2 linked regions of the Notamacropus eugenii genome follow. Each later gene encodes a partner of the first gene's protein in a complex. Links are inferred from orthologs where the notes say so. Each region holds a gene or a part of one and is shown in the gene's direction. Other genes may lie near its edges. The genes, in order: JAML and CXADR.

Region 1 (15,193 bases):
ATGCAGGTTAAACTGGAGTTAATCAATAGTGTCAAGGCACTAGTATTAAGGGAGATCAGGAAAAGTTTCCTGTCAAAGATGAGATTTTAGCTGAGACCTGAAGGAATCTGGGGAGTCCAGGAGACAGAGATGAGAAAGGAGTGAATTATAGACATGGGAAATAGCCAGTGACAGTGAGCAGAGTGTAGAGATGGAGTGTCATGTGTGAGGAATAGCCAGGAGGCCTGTATTAGTGGATCCAGGGTTATGTGGGGGTGGGGTAGGTTGGGGGCTGGGGCAGAGTAAGGTGTAAGAAGACTATAACATAAGATGAAATCAGGTTATAAAGCACTTTGAACACCAGAGGATTTTTTTATTTGATCCTGGAGGTGATGGGACATCACTGAAATTGATTGACTAGGGAGAGGTGACATGGTCAGGCCATCACTTTAGGCAGGTCACTTTAACAGTTAAATGGAGAATGGCCTGAGATGCGGAGGGACTTGAGGCACAAAACTAAGCAAAAGGGTATTGCAGTAGTCTAGGCTTGAGGTGTTGAGGGGCCTGCACCAGAGTGGTAGCAGTGTCAGGCTGATTGGTGATGAGAGATGCCTCAAAGGTAAAATCAACCAGACTTGTTAACAGATTGGATTTTTGGGGGTAGGAGAGAGTGAAAATTGAGGCTGACAGCTCAGGTGAGTGGGAGTAGTCTTCTCAGTGATAGGAAAGTTTGGAAAAGGGGAGAGCAAGAAGTCAAAGATAATGAGTACAGTGTCTGACATGTTGAGTTTAAGATGTCTAAGACATCTACTTAGAGATGTCCACCAGGCAGTTGGAAATTCTAGCCTAGAGGTTAGGAGAAAGTTTTGGGTTGGATAAGGAGATCATCAGCATAGAGATGATAACTGAATTCATGGGAACTGATGAGATCATCAGCATATAGCATATAAAGAGAAGAAAAGAAGGCCTGGGCCAGAACCTTGGAGGACACTTATGGTTGTGGGTGTGATATGGATGGGGATTTAGCAGAGCACTCTCAGAAGGAGCAGTCACATAGGGAGAGGACCAGGAGAGAGCAGGGTTACCAAAGAGTGGAGAGAGCAGAGAGTATCACGGAGAAGGTGATTGACAGAGAGGTCAAGAAAGGTGAAGGCTGAGAGAAGACCTCAGCTCTGGTGAGGAAGCAAGTGTTTTGGTCAGGAAGTGCTCTGTTAGAGTGTAATTAGGATGCAGCTATATCATCAGCACAATCAGATAACATTTAATATACTCTTACACAAGCGTTGTGCTTTACTGAACAGTGTAGAAGACCCAGGTAAACAGATATGACCCTTTACTTGAGGCATGGCACAGTGGAAAGAGTCCTGGACACAAGAGTCAGGAAGGCCTGAGTTCAGATTTGATTTTGGGAATCTACTAACCATGAGATCCTGGGCAGGTTACTTTCCTCTTACTGCCTCAGTTTCCTCATCTTTAAAATGGGGATAATAGCACCTACCTCCCAGGGTTGTTGCAAAGATGAAATGAAGTAATATTTTCAAAACACTTTGCGAAGCTGGAAGTGCTATATAAATGGGAGCTATTATTGTTGTTCAGGGCAACTAGATGGTACAGTGGATAGAGTGCCAGGCCTGAAGTAAGAAAGACCTAAGTTCAAATCTGGCCCTGATCCTTACTAACTGTGTGACCCTGGCAGGTAACTTAACCGTGTTTGCCTCAGTTTCCTCATCTGTAAAATGAGCTGGAGACGGAAGTGGCAAAACACTCCAGTATCTTTGCCAAGAAAATCCCAAATGGGGTCTTAGTCAGACACAGCTGAACAACACATCAGTTATTGTTGTTATTTTGGGGAGGTTGGTAATGGGCATTTTGACTAACTCTGCCCACTTTTTTTTTTTTTTAATAGCACTGACCAGGGAGAAGATGAAGGCTGCATGCGAAGACTTTGTACCCGTTGTGCTGAATGCCTGGTAAGCTGTTTCTTCCACTTAACTGTCTGTTTAACTTTTCTGCACGTTGAGGAAACACATTGTGCTGTGATATTAGCTGAGATAATGCAGGTGGGGCCAGAAGGAGGCATGAACCAAGGTCTTAGAAAGAATTGTGGCCACAGGAAGCCCTTACCATCCCTAACCACCTCAACTTCTACCCCTGATCTGTGGACATAAAATGGTGCTGGTAGCGCTTCTGTGGAGCATTCCCTGAGAATGCGTAGCTCACATTTCAATAGCTCTTTACTCTTACTATGACTTTACACCCACTATTTTATTTAATCCTCAACAGCCTGATAAAGTCCATACAGTATTGCTATTTCACAGCTGAGGGTACTTTCCTTCATTAGGGTTAAGTGATTTGTTCTAGATCAAAAGGCTAGTTACATAGATGATTTACCCCTGGGATTCAAGTAATCTGACTCCAAGTGCAATTTACTGTCTGCATTACCATGCTTTTTCTCTCTTCTGCCTTATTATCTAGAGGAAATGTGGAGAAGAGAGCATTTCTCCTTCCTGATGGCCAGTTTGTGTCATGCACAAAAACATGTCATGTTTAAACTTCACTCTCTGTAGCTGCTTGCTTCTTTAAATTTGTCATACTTAGGGTCTTGGATTTTAGGGGGGGGTATGTGGTCCTCTACTGACTTTGGTGCTGCATTTGGCTTCTCTTTTCCTCACACTTTGTTGATATTTTGTGATCATTTATGTGGCTTGGATAGAATTTTTAAAGTGTTTCAATGACCATTTATTTATTTGCAATGCTATTGCCACCCCAACTCCCAAATAACCAAGAGAGAAAATTTTTTTAAAAAGCACTGTCAGGCACAATGAACAAATCCATTGGGTCTTTGTGCAGAAAGATCTGTCTCTGCACCTTGTGTAGCATGGATAGACTTTCACCACGTAAGTTCCCTATCAGGGATTAGAAAACTGGTGCTTTGTCTTTTAACTCAAAAGGGAAAGGCTGCTGTTTCTATCATTGTAGCGCTTGTGACTCATGATAGCTTTGCTTGCTTCCAATATTTTTTGTACAGCAATAGTGGCTCTCTGATGTAGAGATGTTAGGAGACCAAATTTATGCTCTAAGTATGGCATACACTTCTTAGTGTAGGTTTTGAAATTTTTTCTTCTCAAATTTATGACCAGATTCAGCACTTAGCAGGATTTGGCTATATTGTTTCACCTCTATATCTGTTGTAGTGCTCTATGTTTAAAATTCTCAGTGGACTCTTCTTCCTTTTACCTGTTAAACTAAGCATAATATCTAAGATACTACATTTGAAGGGTTGTGTGGCAACACATTTGAATGAAAATATTTTGATAATATGAAATGAATACATGTTTACAATCTTGATTATGTGCAGTGTAAATTTGAGTTTGAATATACAGGATGTCCCAAAAGCCTTCCTGAAGTTTTAAACTCTTAAAGCTTAAAAATATGTTTTAGATCTGCTAGAAGACATTAAGAAATATGTGTACCATATGAAGAAAGGTTTTCAGTATATTTCAGTAGCTTTCTATAGCTCAGTTTTGTTATTCATAAAAAACCCTTTCCATTTTTTGCCCCTTCTGCTGTTACTGATTTGGTGCCTCTAGGGTTTTACAAGTTCTGGCATTCCCCAATATGTGTGACATTAAAGCCCACTGTTCTCCTCCTTTTGCCAGAATTTTTTATGCTATTAAAATGTAAAACTTCACTAAGACTTTTGGGACAACCTTTGTAAATATGAAGCATCATGCTAGACTGGAAAGCCTTTGAGGCAGAAATGGAGATGGCAGGTGTCTGTTGCTTAAAGATTTGGCTCTCATTTACCTAATGGTAATTTCCGTATGTGGAAGTTGGGCCAGGTAGTAACTAAGCCATATTCTGGGAAAAGCTTTGAGTCTTTGACTTAATTTGCTGAAGTGCTATCTCTGCATGGTTTTTCTCCATTTAGGATTCGGACTTTGAAGAAGCATATTGATGACAGTTTAAAGACTACCTGGCTTCAGAACTCGAGTCATGTGTTTGATCTGCACAAAAGTCCTGTTCCTTTATTTGTTGAAGTTTTGTGTGATTGCAGTTGACTTGGACTGCCATGATGGAAAGCCATGTTGGAGGAACCTGGAGTTCAGTAGTCAAGACTGTCCAGTAACTTTTAATTTATTGAAGAAATGGCCTTTTTATATTTATAAAACATTTTAAGATCTTAATAGAAGAGATGCATAAAAAGCAGAGCTCTGCTTATTCTAGTTTAGTAAGTTATATTCTGGTTGGACCGAGGAACTATTTTCCTGAGCAGGAAGATATAAATTGTCTATGTTGCACTCTATGCATTCTATGTTTTCTTCCAATTGTTTGAAGGAGAATCATAAATATTGTTATTACTGACTACAGAGGATCTTTTCTTTCAAAGGAATGTCATTGTAACATCCTTTTGTTCCTGTCAGATGAAAATATTTGTAATAGTGTTTTGCTTGGTCAGTTTTTAGCTTGGAGCTACTAATTGAATAGTAATCACTGCTTATTTCTCTCCTGTTACTGGAGCTGCAAAATTTCATTGTATATTATAATCTCAAGATCATTTGAATTGTGTAAACTGTAATCATGTAAGATTAGTCAGATTTTGCTTTGTTTCAGTACTGTATTTTTTTCATGTTAAATGTTATCAGTTTATATTCAAGGAAAAGAGTAGTGAGGCGATAGAATTGATTTCTCCTGGCTCGCCAGATCAGAATCGGGCTGGGGTTGCAGTGGGCAATATCTCATTGTCACATTTCCTTGCACACTCCGCTGCTGTCTGTTCGGCCCCTTCACTTTTAGGCCAGTCTTTGGGAGTTTTCCAGTCTGAAATTATAGGCTGCTGTAGCTTTTATCTTTAAATGGCGATGTCTTCTCACCTTTCAGAATCGCTGATCTTCAAAATGCGCAGAATATACACACTAGTGATTGTTTCAGATGTCGCTGCAGAAGGTCTTGTGGATCAGAAGTGAGCACAGGCCTCAGACTTTCTCACTGTTGTCTTCTTCCCTCCTTGTGCTCTGTGTGCTCTGGCTTAATTCTCTAGTGCATGACTAGCCAGATAAAGTGCACATATTTTATGTGCTGAGGTTTTACTTTTTGTTCCCCATGTATAGAAAAATACATCTTGGATCTGCCACAAGACTTTAAGAAATAGATGTGCCAAAGTTGATAGTATGTTTCAGCAATCCAGAGGTATGTTGTTTTCTCAGTTTTTGTATTCAGAAAAACTCTTTCCATTTTTGCCCTTTCTTCTATAACTAATTTGGTGCTTCTGGTGTTTTCCAAGTTCTGAAACTCCACAAAATATGTGACATTAAAACCCACTGTTCTCTTCCTCTCCTTAGATTTTTAGCCCACATTTTTTTGTTTTGTTTTGTTTTTGAATACAGAATGAGTTCAGAAGCTTTGTGGTCTGCCCCATTGGTTTATCCAACCCTCTTTGGTTAAATTGTTTTACCAATCAGAAATTTTTGTGACTTAACTGAGATTGTCACTTACCCAAGATCGCACAAACCTTCCAGCCAAATCTGGGACTAGCAGCTTGCTTTTTTCCTGTAACCGTGCCTGTCCCTGTAGCTTCACAGTTTCTTGGACCATGTGATAATTGATTTCAGGGGCCGATCCACTGAAACTCTTTCTAACTTTTAAATACAGAGAAAAAGAAAGAGAGTTAATTTAGGCATTAAGTCGAACCTTTAAGTGTTCCTAGCTGTAATGTAAGCATTTTGTGAGACCTCAGCTCCCTGAGAAGGGGGATAATACTTCAGGATGGCCTAGTTAAAGCTATGTCCTTTTAAATGAAAACCTGTTTTGACTGGGTCATCTTATACCTTTCTTGCAGGCTTGAGGATGAATTCAGTGAGGTACGTTTGTGATTCTTGCATGAACAGTCCTGTGTGAATGCTCAATAGTATTATTTTACAATCTTAATCACGATTTGGACCAAGGCCCCTCCTTTTAGAATGACTGAACAGTAGAGGCTTTTATGGTAAGGAGTAAGTTGATCATTGAGACTTTTCTGTCTGGTTGTGGTCACATCACAGGGTATAAAGCTGCTATCAATTTCTCCATTACTCCTGTGAGGTCTGTCCTCAGCCTCTCCTCAGAATTGTTGAGAAGTTATATACTTGCCTCCTTTAGGGATGAATAAAAGATACAGTATATCTTTTATGTAGAGATATCCTGTGCTGTTTTTATACCTCCTTAGGTTCTATTTTTAGTTTTCTTTCAGATTGGTGAGAGAAACTTTTCTAGAATGGGAATTTACCACTGGCAAGCTCTATGCAGGGGTTGTCTTTCTAAAATAGCTTCTGCTTCATGGTATATTATCATCTTTGTTTTCTGAGTTTCTGTTACCAAGAGTCATTGAGTTTGTGGCTAAATATGTGCTTTAGAGGAAAGGGCCTTAGGTTTACTGTCTATCTGATTGCATCAGGTAACTTGGGAAGCAGTTTTTTCTTTACCAGCACTGAGAATAGATAGGCACTGGTACTTCAAGAGAGTGAGTTACTTGTGTTTTGTTTTCTGTTTTTTTTTTAAAACAAGAAACCCAGAAGCTACCACCTGAATATTGGTGTATAACCTTTGTCCTGAATGTCCTCGTGTATGATCTAGTCAATTGCAAATGGTGAACTTCAAGAGGACCAGAGGGATGTTTATGAGGTAGATTCAGAACTGGAAGGGGCCTTGGAGGTTGTGGAGTCCAGCCCCCTTCTTTACAGATGCAAAAACTGAGAGGTTAAATGATTTACCCTGGATCACAGAGCTTAAGTGTCTGAGGTGAGATTTGAACCGGTCTTCCTGACTCCAAGTACAGCACTTGGTGGACTAACATTTTCCCTTCACATCGACATTAAAGAAGAGCCATTTCATTATTTGTCTTCCCCTTTGAAAGGGGAAGTTCCGTTCACAAAGCCCTTCCATTCTTGCTGAGTCTCCCTGTGGTTTTGCATGTGGAAATGGCACTTATGGCCCTCTGTCTGTAAACACTGTAGATGTTTGCAATGATGTGGACAATAAACTCCTTTTTACGTTTCCAGGCTGTACTTTGTTTGCTTTGCTTATTTAGTATCAGAATTATTCATGTAAGAGTTGAGGGCTAGTGGTTTTCAAAGTTAGGGTCGTCTCTTAATTATACCTGGGAAAGGACTTAATCCTAGATTTTGAGGAGGGTTTCATCTGCAGCATGCCTTACATCAAGAGAGTATGCAAAAAGGCCTGTCTAAACTTGCTGAAATAGATGAAGCAGACTATTTTGCTTTGAGTTGATGCCTCACTTTGAGGAAAAAAGGTTGGGCTCCAGACTTTTCCGCTAGCATTAATTTTTACTTACATAGGATGTTCATTCAAGGTATATAATGGTGGAGCTCTTGGGGTCTATATTCTGTAAAGGATAATCTTCTTTGCCTCAATTTCCTCACCTGTGAAATGAGCTGGAGAAGGACATGGCAAACAGCTGTAGTATCTTTGCCAAGAAAACCCCAGATGGGGTCGTGGAGAGTCAAAACGACTTAAAAATAACTGAACAACAATACATTGCCACAGAAACTTCATTGTGAAAGTCTGCAGGTCTGGGTAGTAAGGCAGAGGGCTTGGGAGGTGCCAGTTTTTTAATGGGATGTAGTACATGGGGAATGACTGCCCTGCAGATTTGTATAATATTGTAAAAAAGGAAATAATAGCAGACCGCTGTGACTCAAATCATAGAACAAATGATTTCTTCCCTCTCAAGTTGGAAGATTGTCATTCAATCATTCGACAAATATTTCCTGAGTGGTTACCATCCATAAGCTGCTATGGTAAGTGCTCTGAGATTAGATATTACCTACCCTCAAAGAACTCACAATCTAGTGTGGGAAATGACATACATAAACACAGGACAGATGTGATCACGGCTCCTTCAGTAAGTCAGCCCCTAAAGCTTTTTTTTTTTAAATAAAAGCATTGGGTTCATACTGTGGGCTGAAAGACTGAAACAAGAATTTCATGCTTGTAGTTCCTGTATTTCTCCTCAGCTGCCTCAAAATGCACATATCTGATTTGCTCTAATACCTCTAGGATCTACTTGAATCAGACTGTGGGGGAGTGCAATACCATCTGAGGAATTTATAATTGTAGTGTCTCTCCTGGCATGTCATCACCTTAGGTAAGCATTTTTCTTTAATTTTCCAAATAGTTATCTCATTTGAGCATTTTCTTGATCAGAAGAAGGATGTTGCTAAAGTGTTGTTTTTTTTTTTTTTTAACCCCACTGTTGAGTCATATAAGACTGTGTCTATGTGATGGTGTTAGCTTTAGCTGGGGAATTGGGAGTGAGGTGTCTTAGCTTGTTAGGACCTAACTGGACCAGTAAGTCATGACCAAGTTAGTTAGATTTTCTGTGTGTTTTGATAAGTTGCTTTGTGACAGAAGAAAAATAAGGAATATTTTTAATAAGAGGCCAAAAATGAATCAATGAAAACTGTCATCTTAGGCAGGGCTTTGCCTAGGTGTGCTTAAAACTGTGAGAAGACTGTATGACTCTATTCCTTCTACTCCCAACAACAGCCAGGATCTTATACCAAGAAGCCACTAAGACTTTGCTGGGTCTCTGGGGCTTGACAGAATCCGTACTTGTCACATCATTTGTCTGGCTGTGATCTTAGTGAGGAGTCATGACGTGACTGAGGAGGGAGAGATTAGGAAGGATGTGGATTCTGTTATCACTCATATTCCTTTCCAACTTGGGGGTAGGAGGAGAGTTATCTCTGATATAGATTGTTTTTGTTCAGCTTTGTCTGACTCTATGTGACCACATTTGGGGTTTTCTTGGAAGATACCGGAGTAGTTCGCCATTCAGCTCATTTTACAGGTGAGGAAACTGAGGCAAACAGGGTTAAGTGACTTGCCCAGAGTCACATAGCTAGTGAGTATCTGAGGCCAGATTTGAACTCAGGTCTTTCTGACTCCAGGTCCAGCACTTTATCAACTGAGTCATCTAGCTGCCTCTTGATATAGCTTAGGTTGTGCTAATAAGACACCCGTGTGTCTGAGGTCACATGAGCTGACACTTTTTTTATATAGTCATGGAATCATAGAACTGTAGAATCTTAAGGTTGGAAGGGATGTTATAAAGTACTTATTAAATGGTCTTGGGAGGAAAATTAATACTGAGAGGCTCAGATTTCATATCAATATAAGAGAAAGCAAAAACAGTTTAATTGGAATATAGAGCACCCAAGGAGTTATATGAAATAAGTTGAAGAAGATGAGTTAGGAACAGCTTTAAGTGCTAAACAAGAGGAATTTGTATTTTATCCTAGAAACAGTAAGGAACCCCTGAAACTTCAACTTGGGGAATGGTGATTTAGGGGAGTGGGGAAGTTGAGGATGGTGGTAACATGGTCAAATCTGTGCATTAGAAATACCAACTTGGCAGCTGTGTGGAGGTTAGACTGGAGAGGGGAGAGATTGCTCTCAAGGAAACCATTTTCAAGACTTTTAATCATCTAGCTGAGAGATGGTGAGGGCTTGAATTAGGGTGGTAATCTAGGGCTATGAGAGTGGTGGTAAGATTCTGTGGAGGCAGAAACTAGATTTGGAGACTGAGGAGATGTGGAGTGAGTGAGAGAAAAGAATTAAGGATGCCACTGACGCTGTGAACCAGAGAGACTAGAAGGGTAGGGATGAAGTTTAGTGGGAGCAAGGCATTTGTTGAACGTTTTGAGTTTGAGATGCTTATGGGATGGTATATGTGGAGATGTTCAATGGGTAGTTGGTGATATGGGCCTGGAGCTCACGACAGGTAAAGGCTAGATATAGAGCTGATAATTGAACCTTAGGAGGTGGTGAGATCACCAAGTGAGACTTCAGAGAAGAGGGCCTGTACAGAGTCCTGTAAACATATGCACATAGGAGGTCAAACGTAAATGCTGACAAGTAGAAGAGGGAACCAAGGTGGGCAGAGGAGAGCAATGTCCTGGAAGCCAAAGTGAGAGAGAGTGTCTGGAATGAGGAGCTAGTTGAAAGTGTTAGAAAAGTTTCAGCAGCTCCTTATTGATTCTAGGATAAAATACAAATTCCTCTTGTTGAGCCCTTAAAGCTATTCCTAACCCATCTTTCTCTGTTTATTTCACATGATTCCTCTGAGAAGTCAGACAGAAGACTGAGAAAAGGTTATGGGATTTAGCAGTTGAATTGTGTATAACCTTGGAGATGGCAGTTTGAGTTGAGAGATGGGGTCATAAGTCACGTCAACAAAAGTTGAAAGCTGAACAGGATAAAAGAAAGTGGACAATATTTATGTAAGATAACTTCTTTCTAGAAGTTTGGTTATGAAAATGAGGAGACAGACATAGATGATTGCTTGAAGGTTAGGTGAAAGGTTTTTGGATGGGAGGAGATCTGAGTATATTTGTAGATAGCAGAGAAAGAGCCAGTAGTGAAAAATGATCGATAGAATCACTATGATCAGAGGAATGCTATAGATAGAGTTTACCTAGATTCTTGCAAAGCAATTGAGAAAATCTCATATTATCCTTCTGGAAGGGATAGAGAGGTGTGGATCGGACAGTTCAGGTAATTGTATCTGTTCAAATGGCAAGACCTAAATAGTAGGCAGTAATGCCCTGACTGGGAGTTTTCATTAGCATGCCCCAACCAGAGACTTTGGCTATTTATAATATTTTTATCAAAGATCTGCATAAAGCACAGATCATATGCTTATCATATTTGTAAAATGACAGCTCTGGGAAGGATAGCTAAAGTTAGATAACAAAGTCAAGAATCCAAGAGACAAGATACAACATTGAGTCAAATACTAATGATGAAATTTAATGGTAAAATTTTAAACTTGGAGTTAAAAAAATCAGCTTCATAGGTTCATGATGGGGGAAACATGGATAGAGGACGTTCATCTGAAAAAATTGGGATTTTAGAGCCCTCCCATGCTCAATGAAAGCCAGCAGTTTAATCTAGTGGCCAAGAAGTCAATGTGTTCCTAGGCTCCATTAAGAGAAACAGAGAATGTCCTAGATGAGACGAATGACTGTTCTGTTTTCTCTTTCTGGCCAAGTCACATGTTGGATATTTTGTTCAGTTCTAAGCAACACATTTTAGGAAATCCATAAACAATCTTAAGAGTGTCAAGAAGGGAAGGGGGACATTAGAATAGTGAGGGCAGGCTGTGTGAGAATCAGTTGTAGGAACTGCAGATTTTAGCTCAGATAAAAAAGATGGCTTGTGGGGAGAAGAGGAGACTTGATTGGTATCTTCAAGGGCTGTTGAATGAAAGAGCAATGGATTGGAGTTGTTCTGTGTGGTCCCAGAGGGCAGCACTGAAACCAGTGTGTGGAAGTGAAGGACACAGATTTAGGGTCAATGTAAGGAGAAACTTCGTACTGGTGGGAGGTATCCTAAAGTAGAATGGGCCTTTTTGGCAAGTAGTAGATTCACATTTACTGGAGATCTTTAAGCAAAGATTGCCTAACCATTTGAGTGTATTGTAGGAGACCTCTTGTTCAGGTATGAGTTGGATGAGATGGCTTGTGAGGTTGTTTTCAACAATGTGATTCTGTGAATCTGTATTTTTGTCTTTTTAAGTAAATCTCTTAAAAGAAAATCAGATTTCATCTATATAGGGAACTCTGGGTGTAAAAACTTGCTCCACTGATGAAGATCAGCAGTACTATCTTATAGTCCTTAGAGAAAGTAGGACACGGTTTTCTGAAAATACTGTAGATGTATTAGATTCTGATAAAGGACTGCTTCCCCCTTTTGTTTTGGGTGTAACTAAGTAACACATAGGATTGGCTGCCAGATTCAGGGCCATCTCTCTGTCACTGGTTTCCTTTTTAAACAGTGCTAGAGTTCTAAGAAATGTCCACAATGATGGTTTCAGTTGAGGTCTAATATCTAGATGAGTCATCATTAGCTCAACTATTATAAAAATTATATTTAAGATTATTTCTGATGGATGGTACACGAGTTGACTACTGAACTGACATCCACCTTACTGACCAACCTTGTGTCAGGCTATTGCTATATGTATGTACAATTTTGGGGGAATTTAACATGACTCTTAGTGTATCTGAATCAGTGCAATCACTAGTCATGTCAAAAGATTTCTACTACTTTCACTTTTAAATTCTCGTGTTCACTGTAATTCATACTTCTCTGCTCTTGCCATCCCCTTCTAAAATTTACAAACCAGTTTGGTCACTTTGGGTTATGGTCCTTAGGACTTTTCTGTTTGTTCTTGATGATGATCCTTTGAATCCGATCTAAAGACATCCATGCAAATAAATTACTTTCCTCTTGTCTTATGTGCTTTTATCGTAATGAACTTCTGTTATTACAATTAAAAAAATATTTTGTAATTTGTTTTAGAAATATTTTTATTCATTAAGTTTTGTTTTAACTTTCCTTGTCCAGTATTGTTGAAATACAGAAACAATGACAAAAGAAGAAAAAAACAAACCAAATGAAAACACAGAAAACAGAAGACACAAATGATTGTGCATATATCTGTACACTTCTGTATTTACTGATTGATTATTAAGCAAAAGCTGTATGTTAACTTTAACAAGGTAGTGACAGAGTTGTCTGATGAATTTAAAATGTATTTTGTTGGTGTGCAATGTCTTTATTTCCACAGCTATAATCAGTTTGAGGCAGATTGGTTATAGTGGAGAGAAGGGATGGCCTTCAAGTCTTGCCTCTGATACATATTAACTCTATGACTGGTGGCAAGTCTCTTAACCTCTCAATGTTCCAAACAATTTTCTACTGCTGTAAAAAGTAGCAGACAAGTCGCTTTTCAGCATTATTAATGGGAATTTCTGAATAGAGAGTTAACTACCTGTTCAAATCAAAAGCAAAAGAAATTTTTGTATAAATTGTTCTTTTGGTTCTTTCTTCATTCTGTATTTCTTTTTATGACTTATTAGGTTTCTCTGAGTTCTTTATATTTATCATTTTTTAAAGTGCAAAACTATTTCTTTATATCTTTATGTTGTTGATGAGTTGTTTCAGTCATATCTGACTCTTTGTGACCTCATTTGGGATTTTCTTGGCAAAGATACTGGAATGGTTTGACATTTCCTTCTCCAGCTCCTTTTACGGATGAGGCAAACAGGGTTAAGTGACTTTTCCAGAGTCACACAACTAATAAGTGTCTGAGGCCAGATTTGAGCTCAGGTCTTCCTGACTCCAGGCTGCTGCTCTACCCACTGCACCACCTAGCTGCCTTGTATCCTTATACTACAATTTATTCAACCATTCCTCAACCTTTGGACACACTGCTTCTAATATTTTGCTATTCTAGTGTACTTGGTAGTAGTTTACAAAGTAGTAATAAATGACGCTGTCATATTTCTTGTTTGGTAGAATAGCTACAAGGAAGGCAGAACAGGTATTATTTTCCACTTACCTTCTCCCCACCACTCCCCTCCTTCCCCATTTTACACATCATGAAATAGAAGGTCAGAAAGGTGACTTGGACAGTGTCCCACAAGGAGTTAGTAGCAGAGCCAGTACCAGAACCTTTTGTCTTTTAATTATGAGACCAGGGTTCTTTTTGCTACTCCATGATGCCTCTTTTTTTGTATGACCTTCTGGTGTACTTTGCTGATTTTTTTCTAGTGACGATAGAGTTAAGAATTAGAAAATGAAATTGCAAACTTTCAGGTGATCCTTTCTTGCTCACATGTGTGTTATGAATAAAGTCAGACATGATATAAGAGATCTAGACTTATCAGAAGAAAGACAAGCACTGGTTCTTGTATCTTCATAAGTCCTTTCTTCTTACCTTATTTATGTGATGTGTTCTCCTTCTGCTGGAAGGGGATGAACTCCTCTTCCATTGTGAGAAATAGAAAATAGACCTGACTGAGAAGCTGAACGATTTAGAATAGAGGTAGGGATCCTGCAACCTCCAGGCCACATGTGGCCTTCTAGGTCCTCAGGTGTGGCCTTTTGACTGAGTCCAAGTTTTACAGAACAAATTCTTTTATTAAGTTGATTTGTTCTGTGAAGTTTGGATTCAGTCAAAGGGTCATACTTGAGGACCTGGAAGGCCACATGTGGCCTCAAGGCTGCAGGTTCCCCACCCCTGGTGCAGAGGAATCATCCTCCTAGGACCTGAGCCCCTCCAGAGGAGTTGGTAGGTAGGATGAAGTTTGGACTGCATTGCTGATTTGGATGTTGTAGAATTTCTCTGCCTTCTGACTAATTTCCTCTCTTCCATCATCAGTTCCTGGTAACAAATTGCCCCAGCCACCTCATGTGGCTGTTCTGTTACATGGATGGAATTCATTGAATTAGGACTTTTGTCCTTCTATGCCCATCTACTACTTTGTTCATGTGCCCTACCTATTCTTCTTTGGTTTTAGTAAGGGGGGGATGGGAGTATAGGAGGATCTAGACTTGTAATTTCATAAATGTAGGGAACTTCTAACATGGCAACTCTTTTGTCCCTGTAGATAGGCAACTCATTGAAGGGAAATTTGAACGCCAGTCTTCTTGACTCCAAAGTTGGCACTTTATTGCTCACCTTTTCACAATACTTAAATAAAGTTTATGCTTCATTTGAGAAGACAGATGAGAATTTCAAAGCTATGTAGTCAGTGCTTTCAAATGTGAAATTGTTAGACTGCTTTGTATTGCATTTTAGGGTTGTCACCCCAATGTCAATATACAATTGATTGCTGTGATGGCAATCAAAATGGGATCTTTTGCTGGTTTTTGTTTTAGTATAATAAAGTGCCTCTGATTGAGTCTTGCCTTTATCAATCAAGAATCTTTATAAGGAGTGACTGTTTACCTCAAGTTGAAGTCAGTCCCGCCTTAGCTGAACTTCCAACTGAAGAAGAGGTTTTGAGGGCCATTAGGCTCCTTTCATGTGGCAAAGCACCTGGTGCTGATTCTGTTCCAGCTGACATTTACAATGTAGGGGGTCCATTGTTCATACAAAAGCTGACTGAAATTTTCCAGGTTATATGGCAAGAGGAAGTTATCCCCCAGGTGTTCAAGGATGCCTCCATTGTCAATCTCTATAAAGGTAAAGGGAATAAATTGTCCTGTGACAATCACAGAAGGGGTCTCTTTCTTAGTCATTTCTGGCAAGATTCTTGCTAGAGTCCTCCTTAATAGGCTGAACCTTCACCTGGAAGATGGTCATATACCTGAGAACCAGTGTGACTTCAGAAAGGGCCAAGAACAGTTGATGTGGTGTTTGTTG
Region 2 (14,872 bases), about 130 Mb from region 1:
TGAAACATACATATTTTATATACAGTCCATGAGGGAACTTGTTTTGCCTCACTATATACCATTTATTATAGGATGTTTTTCTTTTTTTTTTCCCCAGTAGGGTAGGGAGTGGGAATAAAAGAAAACAGATTTCTGTTCATTTTCTTTTACATGAGAGAGTGCTACATACATGAAATGCTACATGTAAGATGAGATCACTGTGTTAAAAGGAAAATTCTTCACCCTGATTAGTGAGGCAAAACTCAGAGCAAAAAGAAGTAAAGGGAGTTTATTACAAGTACCTCAGGATAGCAATGTGTAGACCAAGCCAATCACTAGAGATCAGCAATAACTTTAAGGTAGGGCCAGCTTTTACAGGTAATTTTAAAACAATTCAGTAGGCCAAGAGGTTGAGCCCTTTATCTCAGTTCCTTCCCAAGATAGCTAGAACATGACATTTTCCAAGTTGGGGGTGACTTGGCTACATTACAAATATCAGGGTGAGGCCTTCTTCAATACTCCACGGACAAGCAGGGCTGGCGAAAGTGGGTCACTGAGTCAACATAACTTTCAGTAACTGTATTATTAGTTTTCTTAATTGCTTTACTTTGTAATGAGACCTCTCAGAAACTGGGAGTAATCTGTAAATATATCTAGTGTAAAAAAGTAAGCATCAATGAAACTTTTATAAAAAGGAAAAGTCACAATTTCTCTGGGTCTTAGTTTCCTTATCTATAAAATAAAGGAGCTGGATTAGACAATGTCTAAGGTTCTTTTTTCACCCCAAATTCATTGAAGCTTTGAGGAAATATGTTAATGAGAAAATTCTAACATTTGAAACTGACCCAAATCATTTTAAGTTGCCTTTTTAAATTTATAAGATGGAATGATCAGTTAAACTAGTCCAAATTTTTTATTTTACAACTAAGGAAACAGGCAAAGAGAGAGGAAAGTCACTTGGCAGAAGGTCACGTGGTAAATGACACAATGACTGTAATCCAAGTCTGCTAGCTCTAAATTCAATGTTCTTCCCCTACTCCACCACAGCCTTAGTGCTACAAAGTGTATTGCTACAAAGTATATGTGTAGAGAGATTCCCCAGGACTGTGAGGTATTGCTGTGAGAGGTGGGGAAAATTCAATCTATAAATTGAGTATTGATCTATACTGTTGCTGTAGACACAGACGTCCCCACCCAATGAGTCCCTGATCTCAGGGAGCTTCCCTTCTACTGGGGAGAAATAGCATGTGCCTATAAATTGTATACAAATTATATATACACTGTAGATCTGAATTAAAGAGAACATCTCCAACATAGCAAAAATTATGATCTTTAGTCAAGGCAAGGAAATTGTAGCTCCGGATGCCAGGCAGCAGCAAGCGTTGGGGTATGTGAGGAGAGGGTTGGACATGGGGGTTCTTACAGTACCAAGGCAGAGCGAGAGGGGTTCGTGAAGGTTGGGGCATTCCTAGGTCTTACAAGGGAAATTGTTTTTACATAACGACCAAAAGTCCTTAGAGAAAGCCGGCTAATCTTCCTTCGCGGAGGGAAGAGTTGAGTATTTATAAAATAGAGGTTGGGGAGGAAGGGGTGGGGGCATTTCTTGGGTCTGGGAATGCGGACTAGGTCGGCTTCAGTCACTCGTTGTTGGTTATGCTCTAGAGCAGCTAGCTCAGGGGTGAGGAACCGGTGGCCTCGAGGACTAGTCTGATGGTGTAGACAATTTGAAAGCAGCTGTATACAGAGAAGCTATACACAGGATTGTATAGGAAATAACGAACCTAGGGAATGTGCTAAAATTAAGAGATTGGGAAAGGCTTCCTAGAGAAGGTGAGATTTAAACTGGGACTTGAAGAAGGAAGACAGGAAAGCCAGGAGGCAGAGAGGAGGAGGGAGAGCATTCCACAAGCATAGGGCATATCCAACAAAAATGCTTGGAGTTTGGATTATATGAGGAACAGCAAAGAATCCAGTGTGACCTAATCAGAGTATGTGTGGAAGCTACTGGGGGAGGGGAGAAAGCTGACAATTCTACCTAAACTAATTCATATATCCAATAACATCCTAATTAAATTACAAAAAAAAAAAATTATTTTACTAAATTAGAAAAAATAATAACAAAATTCATCTGGAAGAATAAAAAGTCAAGACTATCAAAGGAACTAATGAAAAAAATGTAAAGGAAGGAGATTTAGCAGTACCAGATGTTAAACTCTAAGGCAGTAATTATCAAAATTATCTGGTACTAGCTAAGAAATAGAAAGGTTGATCAGTGGAACAGAGTAGATATACAATTTACAGCAACAAATGAACATGGTAACCTTGTATTTGACAAGAGTAAATACTTAAGTTTTAAGATAAGAATTCATTTTTTGGTAAAAATTGTTGGGAAAATTAGAAAGCAGTATGGCAGAAATTGGGCAGAGACCAATATCTTACACCATTTACCAAGATAAGGTCAAAATGGATACATGACCTAGAAATAAGGAGAGAAATTACAAGAAATTTTGAAAAACATGGAATATGTTACTTAGCAGACTTATGAAAAGGAGAATAATTTATGAATAAACGAGCTAGAGAGCAGAGTAAGATGTAAAATGGATGATTTCAATTACATTAAATTAAAAGGGATTGTACAAATAAAACCAATGTAGTCAAGATCAGAAGCAGAAAATTGGGGGAGAATTTTTATAGACAGTTTCTCAGATATCTCATGTCTCAAATATGTAAAGAACTTTATTAAATCTATAAGAATATGAGTCATCCCCAATTGATAAATGGCCAAAGGATATGAACAAGCACTTTTCCAATGAAGAAACTGAAACAATTGAAAGTCATATAAAAAAATACTCTAGATCATTGTTGATAAGAGAAATGCAAATTAAAACCTTGAGATATCATTTCATCTCTCTCAGATTGGCTAAAATGATAGAAGGGGTAAAGTGACAAATGTTGGAGGGGATGTGGAAAAATTGGGACAGTAATTCACTGCTGGTGGAATTGTGAACTGATCAAACCATTTTGTAGAATAATCTGGAATTATGCCCAAAGAATTATTCAACTGTATATACCATTTGATCCAGCAAGTACCACTACTAAGTCTGTTTCCAAAGAGGATCAGGGAAAAAGGAAAAGAACATATATATTCTAAAGGAAAAGAACCTATATGTTCTAAAATAACGTGTAGCATTTGTGTGTGTGTGTGGTGGCAAAGAACTATAAATTATGGGCATGCCCTTCAGTTGTAGAATGGCTGAACAAGTTGTGGTATATGATTTTGATGTACTGTGCTAGAAATGATGAGCTCAGTGATTTTAGAAAAACATGCAATGACTTGCACGAAATAACAAAGAGATCCAAGAGAATAAGAATATCGTATACAGCAACAGCAATATTATTTTAAAGACAACTTTGAGCAACCAAGTCATTTTGACTATTATAAATACTGAAATTAAATACAAGGAACTTATGAAGAAAGATGCTATCTATATCAAAGCATGTATAAAATGATTATACATATATATATGCATGAATGTGTACATATATGTGTGTGTATGTGTATATATACATACATACATATATGTGTATATATACATATATATACATACATACATATATATATGTATATATACATATATATGTATATACATATATATATATATACAAATATATTCATTTAACCTAAATTTTAATGAAAGCAATCAATACAACAAAATTGAGATTTCTGGGAAGAGTGAGTATAGCTTTAGAGGCCACATAGCAATTGCTGAGGTATCCAAGGAGAAGACTGGGAACAGGGTTTATAGGGTACTAAGTCTGATAGAATGAGGAGGCTGCAGATGGGAGGGGTTGAGCATCTCACAGTTTCTTAAGGTAAGTTGTTTTTACATAACAAGCAAAAATCCATAAAGAAAGCTTGGGAGTCTCTGGAAGGGAGAGTTTGGGAGGTCTACAAAATAATCAGAGACTGGAATTGACAAAGTCTAGTCAACTTCAGGCAATTCATTGGCCTGGGAATGGAGACCAGGCCAGCTTCAGGCAGTTCTTAGTCAATTGACTTTGTGTGTGTGTGTGTGTGTGTGTGTGTGTGTGTGTGTGTGTGTGTGTGTGTGTGTGTGTACACATATACATACACACATATTTGTGTCTAATGGGGGGACCAGGGAGAAGAAACAAAGGAAAAAATGCATTTCTTCTATATATCCACTTCTTTTTATTTACACATGTGCTACAGACCCTAATCTCATCATGCCTAGACTATTGCAATAGCCTCCTGGTTTGTCTCCCTGTCTCAAATCTATCACCACTAGGGTCTATCCTCCACTCATTTGCTAAAGTTATTTTCCTAAAGCACAGGTCTGACCACATCATGTCCCTCTTTCTTACTCCCAATGATGGGGTGATGGGACTTGAACTCACAAAAAGGAAAATACTATATCTTTGAAAGCAGCCCAGTTCCTTAATTTCCCCCTTCATTTCACAACATAGACAACTTGCCTGAGGCATCTGGTCCATCCCAGACCACCTAGATACTTAACAGTTCTTTCATGGTGGCTCTAGGCTCACACTAGACCATTTAATACTCCTTTCACAGTTCCCTTGACCCACCCCAGACCACTTTACTCCTTTCACTGTTGCACCTGGGCCACCCTAGGCTATTTATCACTCCTTAATCCCATCTAGATCTTCTCACTGTCTTTTTTTGTATTATAAGTATCACTCTCATCTCCATCAAAGCACAGATTCATTAGGAATCTAGCCCGCTCTACTGGGGTTAAAATAAACCTCCTACTTTGACTGAAAGAAGGCTTGAGTGCTTGAATTCTTTCCAGGCAGACTCACCCTGTATTCTTACAGCCAGCACCCCAAACTGCATCACCTCTATTCAGTAAACTACAATGCCTCCCTATTACCTCCAGGATCAAATATTAAATCCTCTATAGGACTTTGAAACCCTTTCATAAACTAGTGTGTTCCTACCTTTCCAGTCTCATTATACCTTTTCTCCCCTCTATGTACTTGATAAACCTGGTATGCTGGCCTACTTGCTGTTTCTCACACATACCCCCCATTTCCTTTCTGTGCCTTTTCACTGGCTGCCTCTCTTTCCTTGGAAGGTTCGCCATCCTCACAACTACTTGGCTTCCTTCACAACTCAACTTCCATCTCATCTTCAAGAACTGATAAACAGATGTATAAATAATTGCATATATATAGTATATATGTATATATATGCATATATATATTATGTATCTATATATATACACACACATATACCTATTTGTGCCTAATGGCAGCCATCTCTAGGGAAGAAAAAAAGGAAAAAAGAAAAAAATTTACATAACAACGACACACACACACACACAGACACCCTATTTCTGTCTAAAAGTAGCCATCTGGGGAGGAGAAAAAAAGAAAATAAGAAATTAGCATGATTATTATATATTTAAAATGAATAACAAGTTGTACATAATAGATTTATAGTTTTATGTGCAATCAGCTTTTTTATTATACCATGTTAGGAAAATCCTTGTTTTATTCCATAAATTAAAAATAAAATAATTTTAAAAAATACCATTTTCTATAGTGTGTCTTTCTTGGTCTCTTCCTTACCCACTCACCCTTCCCCTCCCAATTCCAAATTACTTCCTTCTGAGATTATTTTCCATATATATTTATATTTACATATACTTCCTTATATGTTCTCATCCGCATTAGAATGTGTGCTCCTTGAGGACAGGAAAGGTGTTTTTGTTTTTCTTTGTATACACGGTACTTAGCCAAGTGCCTTGCTTAATAAAAGTTAATAAATACTTATTGTGTCACTGACTAGCTGAGTTTTCTCATAGGAAAGGATACCACAGCACTTCTACCTGATGTAGTACAGAGTTTCAGGTGGTCTGAAGTTTTTATCTCAGAACTACAGTGGAAGCAGAAGGAAACAGAAAAAGTAGGTTGTAGAGGAAGCTGTTGAAGAGATGCTCATTAATCAAGCACAGCACTCTCTCTCAGTGAATGGAGCAGCTGGCTTTTTAGATGGTGAGAAAGCTGTAACCAGTTTCCACAGTGGAACTTGCTTCAAATGACCCTGAAAACAGAGCTGATGACCAGCTGGCATGTAAAAAAAAAATGTTTTTCAGAGAACAAAGCCTTCTGGGGAGCTGGTCTGGACAATGGCGGGGTGATGTCTTTTGTAGAAGACCTTGGCAGCTTTGCAGGGTCAAGGGGTGTGAGTTGCCCCTCCAATACATTATCATCCCATCTCTATGTCTACATCCTGGGGGGAGGGGAGGGAGAAGAGAAGAAAAAAAGAGAGAAGGAAAAAATGAAATTTACTTAACTTGATACACACACACACACACCTATTTGTGTCTAATGGTAGCTATGGGGGAAGGAAGGGAAGGGGAAAAATGTGTTCTCTCTGTACACATCTGGTAAAAAGAGATGCCTTGGATACATTTTTGCAAGTGTGGATCTAATTCCTATGGATGTCCACTCTTCTTACTGAGTGTGTATGGAAGCTCAACTTTTATGGGAGGAATGTCATATGACTAGTTTAACTAAAATGCCTCTTACAAACTGTGTATTGTTATGGCTGACTGGACAAAGTAAAATGTTGTTGGGGGGCAATAACAGTTTGTAAAATTTCCCCAACCCCAAATATTTATAACTTGGAATAACTAATTGGAGGCTTAGAGTGAGAAAGATGCTCTGGTCTGCATAAGGATCATAAATTTAGAGCTGGAAGGGACCTTAATATATATATATATATAATCTCAACATTCTACAGAGGAGGAAATAATCTCAGAGAAATTGGGACTTGGTTAGGTTACGGAGGCAAATGAATTGCTGAGCCAACTTTTGAACCCAGGTCTTCTGGACTCCAAATCCAGCATCCTTTCCACTGCACCTATGGTCCCTGCCATGAAGAATTTTACTGCACACTATTTTAGCTTCATTATAATTAAAAACAGGTACTTTCTGGTGAGGTAGATTAACTAGGGGCAGAGTCAGCAGTTTGGGAAATTAAATATGAGCACTCTTTTTAAACCACTCTTTTTAAAATTAATATATTTTCAGTTTTCTTCAATCACTTCTATAAGTCTTAGATTTCTTCCCCCTCTCTCCGAGACAGCATACAGTCTTATATATGGGTTCTACACATACATTCTTATTAACCACATTTTTCACATTAGTCATATTGCATAGAAGAATTAAAACAAATGGGAGAAACCATAAAACAAACCATAACACTAGAGAAAATACTCTGCTTCATTCTGCAATCCAATTCCATACTTCTTTCTCTGGATGTGGAAGGCATTTTGCCTCGAGTCCTTTGGGAATGTTTTAGGTCCTTGCATTACTGTGAAGGGCTAAGTCTACCAGGAAAATTCCTGGCACACTGTGGTTCTTACTGTGTACAGAGTTTTCCTGGTTCTGCTCCTTCCACTCAGCATCACTTCAGTCTTTCCAGGCTCTCCGAAGTCTTCCTGTCCATCATTTCTCTAGCACAGTAGCATTCCATTACATTCATACACCACAACTTGTTCAGTCATTCGCCAATGGATGGGCATCCCTTCAATTTCCAGTTCTTGGCCACCACAAAGAGAGCTGCTATTAATATTTCCCATGTCTATGATCTCTTTGGGATACAGCCCTAAAAATGACATTGCTGGTTAAATGTGGTACTTACTACATATACAGTATATTCACTATATATATAGAATTTTGCCTTTATTTTGTTAAGAGGAACCTGCCCACCCTCCCCTCCAACTGCGTCCTTTTAACATACACAGACAAATAATGTATACAACTCGTTTTGTTTAATATGCGTAGTTGTCAACTGCGTTTAGAGTTAAGACAACTCTTTCTCTTCCCATTCCCTCCTTTGGCTGAAATTTAAGGCTGTCTCTTTCTTTTCCCCAGGGGATACAAGGAGAGCCTGGCTTTCCTTCCAGACACTTGCCCATTCTTTCTTCCAGGCCAGGGGTCAGGTAAAATGAAGCGTAAACCTGCGCCCAACCGCGGGCAGAAAAGTGTGTCCCGTCCCCAGGGAGAGCTCCCAGACTCTGCCCGCGGGACGCAGCTCTCTCACCCAGAGGCGGGGGTCTGGGGCTGCTACACCTTCTTCTTTTAATGTGATCGCGGGCCGGCCTACTTCAAAGACAAGGCTAGGGAGTGTGGGCGGTGGCCAGCGCGGAGGAGAGCCGGGCTACGGGTGCCTGGGCTCCCTGGCTCCCAGCGGGCACGCGTAGCCTCCCGGGGTCACCCTGCCCCAGAGGCTGGTTTCGGGGCGTCGGCGTGGGGCCGGCGGCGGAAGCTTAGCGGGCCCAGGTCGGACCTTGACCCCTCGGGCATAGGCGCGGGGTGGAAGCCCAGGCTCGGCCGCCGGAGCGGAAGTGACGCCAGCTTCACCTGCTCGCCCTGGTGCGGGCTGGGAGAGGGAGAGGACGGGGCTCCGAGGTGTGCCGAGCCGGGCTGGGAGCGCGCGGACCGGAGTGAGGGCAGGCAGGCTGTGAGCGCGGAGCCGGGCGTCCGCTCGCCATGAAGCTCCTCTTGTGCGCTGCGCTCCTGTGCTGGACCGCGGGTGAGTGACGAGGAATGCCCGCGGGTCCGCCTGGACTGGCCCCGGGTACCCTGGGCGGAGAGACAAAGAACCGTGCGGGGCAGCGGCTGGAAAGGGCTCTGGGGGGGGGGGGAGGGGGGGCAGGGGCTTAGCCTGGAGGTCGGGGAGAGCCTGCTGGACCTCGAGGGGTGACCTTGGGATCTCCTGGTCGGACAGATCCTCGGGATCTCCCTGCTGGACCTCGAGGGGTGATTGTGGGGATCCTCGGGAATCTCCCTGCTGGACCTCGAGGGGTGATTGTGGGGATCCTCGGGATCTCCCTGCTGGCCCTCGAGGGGTGATTGTGGGGATCCTCGGGATCTCCTGGCTGGACCTCGAGGGATGATTGTGGGGATCCTCGGGATCTCCCTGCTGGCCCTCGAGGGGTGATTGTGGGGATCCTCGGGATCTCCCTGCTGGACCTCGAGGGGTGACTGGGGAGATGTCGGGATCCTGCAGGACCTCGAGGCTCGTTTGATGGTCTGCGGGAATCCAACCCTGTGGGAGAGACGAGCCCCCGAGGGAGCGGTGAAACAAAGACGTTTGCGAAATCCTCTTGGCACTCCTGCCCTGGAGCTGAAGCCGTGTTGTTGGCAGGGATCAGCCGCCCTTCCAGGGCTGGCCCCCAAATGGGGGTCACTGGTGTGTTTGTCTGGACTGGGGAGACTGAGGGGAGGGGAGCGGAGAACGTCCTAGCCTGGGGACCTTGCAGCCCGGCCAGCTCCGCTTGCCCTTCCTCATGGGCTCCTGTCTTTTTTCTATGGTATCGATGCGTTTCCCACTGGTTTTCGGTTTCTCTGGCCCACTTTTGTTTGTCATTTTATCGTTTCCGGCCTGGGTCACCTGTATTTGAAGTCTTCAGAAGGTAAAATTGCAGATCATGAACAGTCTGCCATTTTTAAAAGGTCTCCGTGCCCTGGTGGCACCTGTGATTCACCAGTTCTGTTGGAGAAAGGTGCTGAGTAAAGATTAGCAGGAGTTAATATAGATTATGAATGTCTAAGCAGGAACCATTTCTTATTAAAAAAATAGAGATGTCTTGAGTAATGGGACAGTTTTGAAGAACTCCTATGGAGATTCCTGCAAAAGGATTGGTTTCTGTAGAGGAAAAAAAAAGGTATCCATGCATTAGAGAGGATTGAGTTGTTCTATTTCTTAATTTCTGAGTTCTTTTGGATAAAATGACATGTGGGGTTTTAGAATTCTTAAAGAACTTTATGCAGGATTTTCTCTGTGGAGGGAAGTATAATATCTACATGTTATATACATACACACATATATATAGACACACGTGTGTGTGTGTGTTTTTGGAGTAGAAGTAGACCTAGCTTTTGTTTTTTTTCCTGTGGAAGCAGTGTTTTTTGGTGCCAACTCTTTTGAAAGTAAAATGGTTCCGTTTATTTTGTCAGACTTTCCTATTTCAGAACTTTATGATTTGTGTTTTGCACAGCACCTGGAAGGTTAAATGTTAAGTGGATTTTGCTACAGAATTGGGATGGCATTTTCCGTTTCCTGTTGAAATGTAAAATTCATTGTTGCTGTCATGACTTATTACTCATGACATGAAAATTCTATTTGGAAAGCAATCACTGACTGGAAACTTTAGCACTATCTGTTTTTTATTACCTAAAGCTGACTTAAATTGCTTGGTAAAACTAGGTCTTACCTATATTCTTTTTTCAGTATCTCTTGGGAGAGCCTTTCTTTAGCTGAAAGCAATCACATTTTGAAGTATTGAAATGGAGAAATGAACAAGTCAGCTAGATGATCAGTCCAATGAAATGTTTTAATTGGATTTAGCCAGGTGTTTTATTGTAGATAAATTTTTTCTAGAATTCAGCATTTTGCTAGTCCTATTTTGGGTTATACATTCAAATTCACATTCTCTTCCCTGGAATTTGAGCTCTCTCATACAGTAGTATGATTGCTTTAAGGAAGGGATCTTAAGAGATCACTTCACCTAACCCCTTTTATAGATGAGAAAACCTGTTGTAATTTATCCAAGGTTACAAAGGCAGTAAGTGGAAGAGGAGTAATTCAAACCCAGGAGTTCTAACTTTAAAATCTGAAGTCCTTTTCATTGTACCAACCCTGCCCTTTTTTCAGATTTCCTAGTGCCAATTTTAGAAATCTTCTGGTAAGATTGGAGAGCTTTGAGGGTGCTGGGACCCCAAGAATGCCAAGGCAAATTTGCCTGGAATGAATTCACATACTCAAGCCTTCTCTTAGTCAAGTGGCAAAAAATTTATTGTAACACTTTAGCAAAAGTGGGAAAGAATCCTTATGGAACTTTGAAGAGACTGAGGATTGTGCTGGGGTTTATATGAAAAAGGAACATGAGAAAGGAAGTCCAGGGATACTAATTAGGTCATGTAAGGGTCCATGTGTCTTTGGGAGCTATGGAGGGGAAAGTGTAGGGAGCATACCAGACATTGAGGGAGATGTCAGAGGTATGGAACTTGGGGATCTGGCAGGAAGAAGAGTCCTTGGGCGAGGCACGCCTCTGTTCTGATAAGGGAATGTGTTCTGCAACAAGAGAAAATTTTCTCAGAGGACAAGGCCCTACAGAGAAATTGGGAGACTTTCAGAGACGTGATCTTAGGGTCAGGGTCTGAGCACCCCATCAAGATGATCCATATTCAGTATACATACTATTTGTTTGCCTAGGTAGAACTTTAACCACTAGAAAGTAGTTGATGGATTAAACTGTGAATCAGAGGGCTTGTTGCCACATCTCCTTTGTGCAGCATTTCTAAGCACTTTTTTTCTTCCCTTGGATTCTGTGACACTATGTCTTTGTTCTCTCTTCTACCTTTCTAAGCATAGAAAAGGCTTCTTGGTGGAGTGGAAAGAGAACTGGCTTTGTTGGCTACTAGGTGCCACAGTGGATACGATACTGAACCTGAAGTCAGAAAGACGTTCAAATTTAACATTAGACTCTTATAGCTAGTTGACCCATATGACCCTGCAGAAGTCACTTAGCCTCTGTTTGCCTCATTTTCTTCCACAGTAAAGTAGGAGGATAATAATAGCACCTATGTTGTAGTAATGAGGATAAAATGAGAGCCCGGCACATAGTAGGTGCGCTATAAATGCTTATTCCCTTCACCACCACTTTCTGAAGACCTGGATTCATATCCTGCCTGTCACTTATCTCTGCGATTTCCAATTTTCTCATGAAAAAAACCTTGGAGTTGGACTCGATTAAATTTCTCTGACTGAGGTCTTTTCCTGCTCTAAATTTTATTTCTAAGTTCTTTCTTTGTAGGTGTACTGAGATCATCTTAATTACACATATTCCCTTCTTTTTGAATCCACCTTTAATGATCCTCTCTGGATGATTCCCTTATCTATATTCAACTGTTATCTCTCCCTGAGATTTAGTCCTACATTTCTCCGTGCCTGCTGGATATCTCAACTAAACTGCACAAACATTTATTAAAGATCTGATGTGTTTATACTTAGTCTCTGGGAGAGAGGAAAAGATTACATAAGTCTCTCCTTCATGAATTTCAGTGTCTGTTGATAGGATCTGACATAAACACAAATAATTAATACAAGATAGTAGTTAGAAGGAATGGATGAATGCTTTTGCCAAGCACAGTGCTAAGTACTGGGGATGCAAATAAAAAAGCAATGGCCATTTTTATACACGAGGAGCTTACATTTTAATGGAGGAGATAACTCACTTTGGAGAAGTGATGACCAGGGAAAGGTTAGAAGTTACCTAGATCAGCATCAGCTAAGTTTTTCTGTAAAAGACTAGATAATAAATATTTTAGGCTTTGTGGGCCAAAAGACAAACTCAAGGATATTTTGTAAGTACTTATATAACAAAAGAAAACAGATTTCCACAAAATTTTTATTGATGAAATTAAAAATATAATAATAATTGAGTACAATTTTTTAATAATATGGGTCTAATGAGAAGAATGGAATTCTTTTGGGAAGGATAAAACTTAATTGGAGTTCAGAGTTTCTGTTACCTGTCATCAGCATCAATTAAAAATAATCAAACATTTGTTAAGCACTTACTGAGTAAGACTCTGTGCTAAATGCTGCAAGTACAAAAGGGGCAAAAGAGCCCCTGGCCTCAGAGAGTTTATAATTTAATGGGGCAGACAACATGCAAACACCTATATAAAGCAAGCTGTATTCAGGATAAATAGTAACAGTTTTATATGTAAGCAAGGAATTAAGAGGGGTTGGAAAAGGCTTTCTGTAAAAAATGGGATTTTAGTTGAGACTTAAAGGAAGTCAGAAAAGCCAGTAGAAGGTGGAGATGAAATAAAGGATTCCAGGGTTGGGGGGACAGCCAGAGAAAATGCCAGGAGCCAAGAGTTAGAGTGTCTTGTTCATGGACCAGCAAGGATGCCAGTGTCATTGGGGTGAAGAGGATGTGGTGTGGGAGAATGATGTAAGAAGACTGGAAAGGTAGGAGGAGGCTAGGTTATAAAGACTTTCAATGCCCAATAGCATTTTGTATTTGATTCTGGAGGCAATAGGGAGACACTGAAGTTTGAGTAGGAGGAAGGTGGCTGTATTTTAGGAAAATCACTTTGAAGTCTGATTGGAGGATGGATTGGGGTGGGGAAAGACTTAAGCAGATCCAATTGCAAGCTCCAGGTGATGAGGCCTTCACCTAGAGATGTGGTGGTGTCAGGAGAGAAGGGGGCATATTGAAGAGATCTTGACAACATTGAACGTGGCAGTGAGATGACACACTGAGGGCCTGGGAGGATGGTATTACCCTCTACAGTCCTAAGAAAGTGGGTAGGAGCAGGGGAAAAGATGATGAATTTGTTTTGGGGTATACCGAGTTAAAGATTTCTACTGGCCATTTGATTCTAAATGCCTGAAAGGCTGTTGGAAATTAGAGGTTGAAGGCCAGCAGATAGGTAGACTTGAGAATGTACAGATCAGTGGGAGCTGATGAGATCAAGTGAATTGGTATAGAGGGAGAACAGAGGAGGGTCCATGTACAACCTTTACAATGATTGTAACTGTAACGGAAACCCTTCAAAGTACTGTAGAAATGTGAGGAGTTGTAGTTATTATATTGAATTATGGAGGATCACAGGAAATTTTCATAGAATAATATTTGAATAGTACTTTAAAATCAGGGACATTCCAGGTATAGGAAATGGCATATTAAAAGTACGTTTGCTTGGAGCTTTAGACTAAAAGCAGTGATAAGGTAGCATTAATTGTAGAGTGATAGTAAATCAGCTAGGGCAGAGACATCTCCCTACTTCAAACTAACAAGTTAAAATTTAAGTGGGAAATATTTAACAATAAGTAAAAATAAAATAGAACATAGATTATGCGAATATCTGGTTTTCTAAGTCAATATACAGCTTGTAGGAATCCTTTGTAAAATTTAATGGCCTCCAATTTCTGTTTACTGGTCTAGGACTTTAAATGCTAGGATAAGAAGTTTGAATTATAATTCAGTAGGGTTTAGTTTAATTCAGCCAATATTCAGAACCTGCTATGTTTAAGGCACTGTGCTAAGTGCTGGATATATAAAGGTGGCATAGCCTATTTCCCCTAGTAGTTTGCATTCTGTTAGGGAATATAGCATGTACACAAATAAGTAAATAGAAGAGAATAGATCATTTGTGCAGGGATAGGTGGTGGTAGTGGGGAGAGACAGAGAACACTAATAAGGAAGGAATTAATGGAAATGGAGCTTCTTATCCCAGCCTTGAAGTCATAAGATAAGGATTCCGAGACTTAGTGTTGAAAGATTACACGCCTTGGAAAGCTTCAATCAGTACAAGACTAGATGTGTTTATTAATTTAGTAGAAGTGATAAGGTAGAAAGGACATAGAAATGACAAGATTCAACAAGCCCAGGAAGGTTAATGCTGGTGAGTAGGTCACTAAAGTCATGGATAAAGGTAGGCCAGGGGGTTGTGGGAAGATGTTAGCTTGTTAAGATCCCACATCCTCTTAGTAATGTACCACTCTATTAACTGATAGAAAGAATCACCTGTAGTCAGAGCATCCAATCCAAGAAAATCCGTAGAAGAACCCCTAAAGTCCTGAAGGGAGATTTGAGAATCATCTCTGTCCTGGGACAGAGAAGGTTTTGGACAAAGTGCAGTGGGTTAGAGTTCAGTCAGCACTGCCTAGAGAGCTTGCTACTGTTGCAGCATTTCTGACCTCAGCTCAGCAGTGCCCAAGACCAGGCAAGCCCAGCCCTCAGGGAATGCTGCTTGGACTTTTGAGGTTTTCACTACTGTCTTTCATGACACTCCCTGTCCAACCTGAGCCTTTCCCAAC

What was found.
Region 2: the proteins of JAML (region 1) and CXADR are in contact, whole or in part, in a crystal structure (PDB 3MJ7), measured with the Mus musculus proteins. The link is inferred for Notamacropus eugenii from reciprocal best matches to the Homo sapiens genes JAML and CXADR. Residues at the interface, in NP_001005421.3 of Mus musculus: Arg57, Asp59, Ala69, Tyr72, Phe75, Tyr77, Leu80, Val82, Glu120, Arg122, Ser127, Met128, Val129, Met130, Lys131; in NP_001020363.1 of Mus musculus: Thr23, Gly51, Pro52, Asp54, Glu56, Leu58, Ser60, Gln65, Ile66, Val67, Asp68, Gln69, Val70, Leu73, Tyr83, Lys121, Lys123, Lys124, Ala125, Pro126, Gly127, Val128, Asn130.

The regions. Positions count from the first base shown.
Region 1 is NC_092876.1:280,578,411-280,593,603, forward strand, and holds the start of JAML (junctional adhesion molecule-like), read left to right. Parts: upstream 1-8,090; 5' UTR 8,091-8,122; intron 8,123-15,193. Other genes in the region: MPZL3 (myelin protein zero-like protein 3), read left to right, coding at 1,886-1,949, 5,091-5,234. UniProt on the Homo sapiens protein: Transmembrane protein of the plasma membrane of leukocytes that control their migration and activation through interaction with CXADR, a plasma membrane receptor found on adjacent epithelial and endothelial cells.
Region 2 is NC_092876.1:411,764,661-411,779,532, forward strand, and holds the start of CXADR (coxsackievirus and adenovirus receptor), read left to right. Parts: upstream 1-8,428; 5' UTR 8,429-8,523; coding exon 8,524-8,566; intron 8,567-14,872. UniProt on the Homo sapiens protein: Component of the epithelial apical junction complex that may function as a homophilic cell adhesion molecule and is essential for tight junction integrity.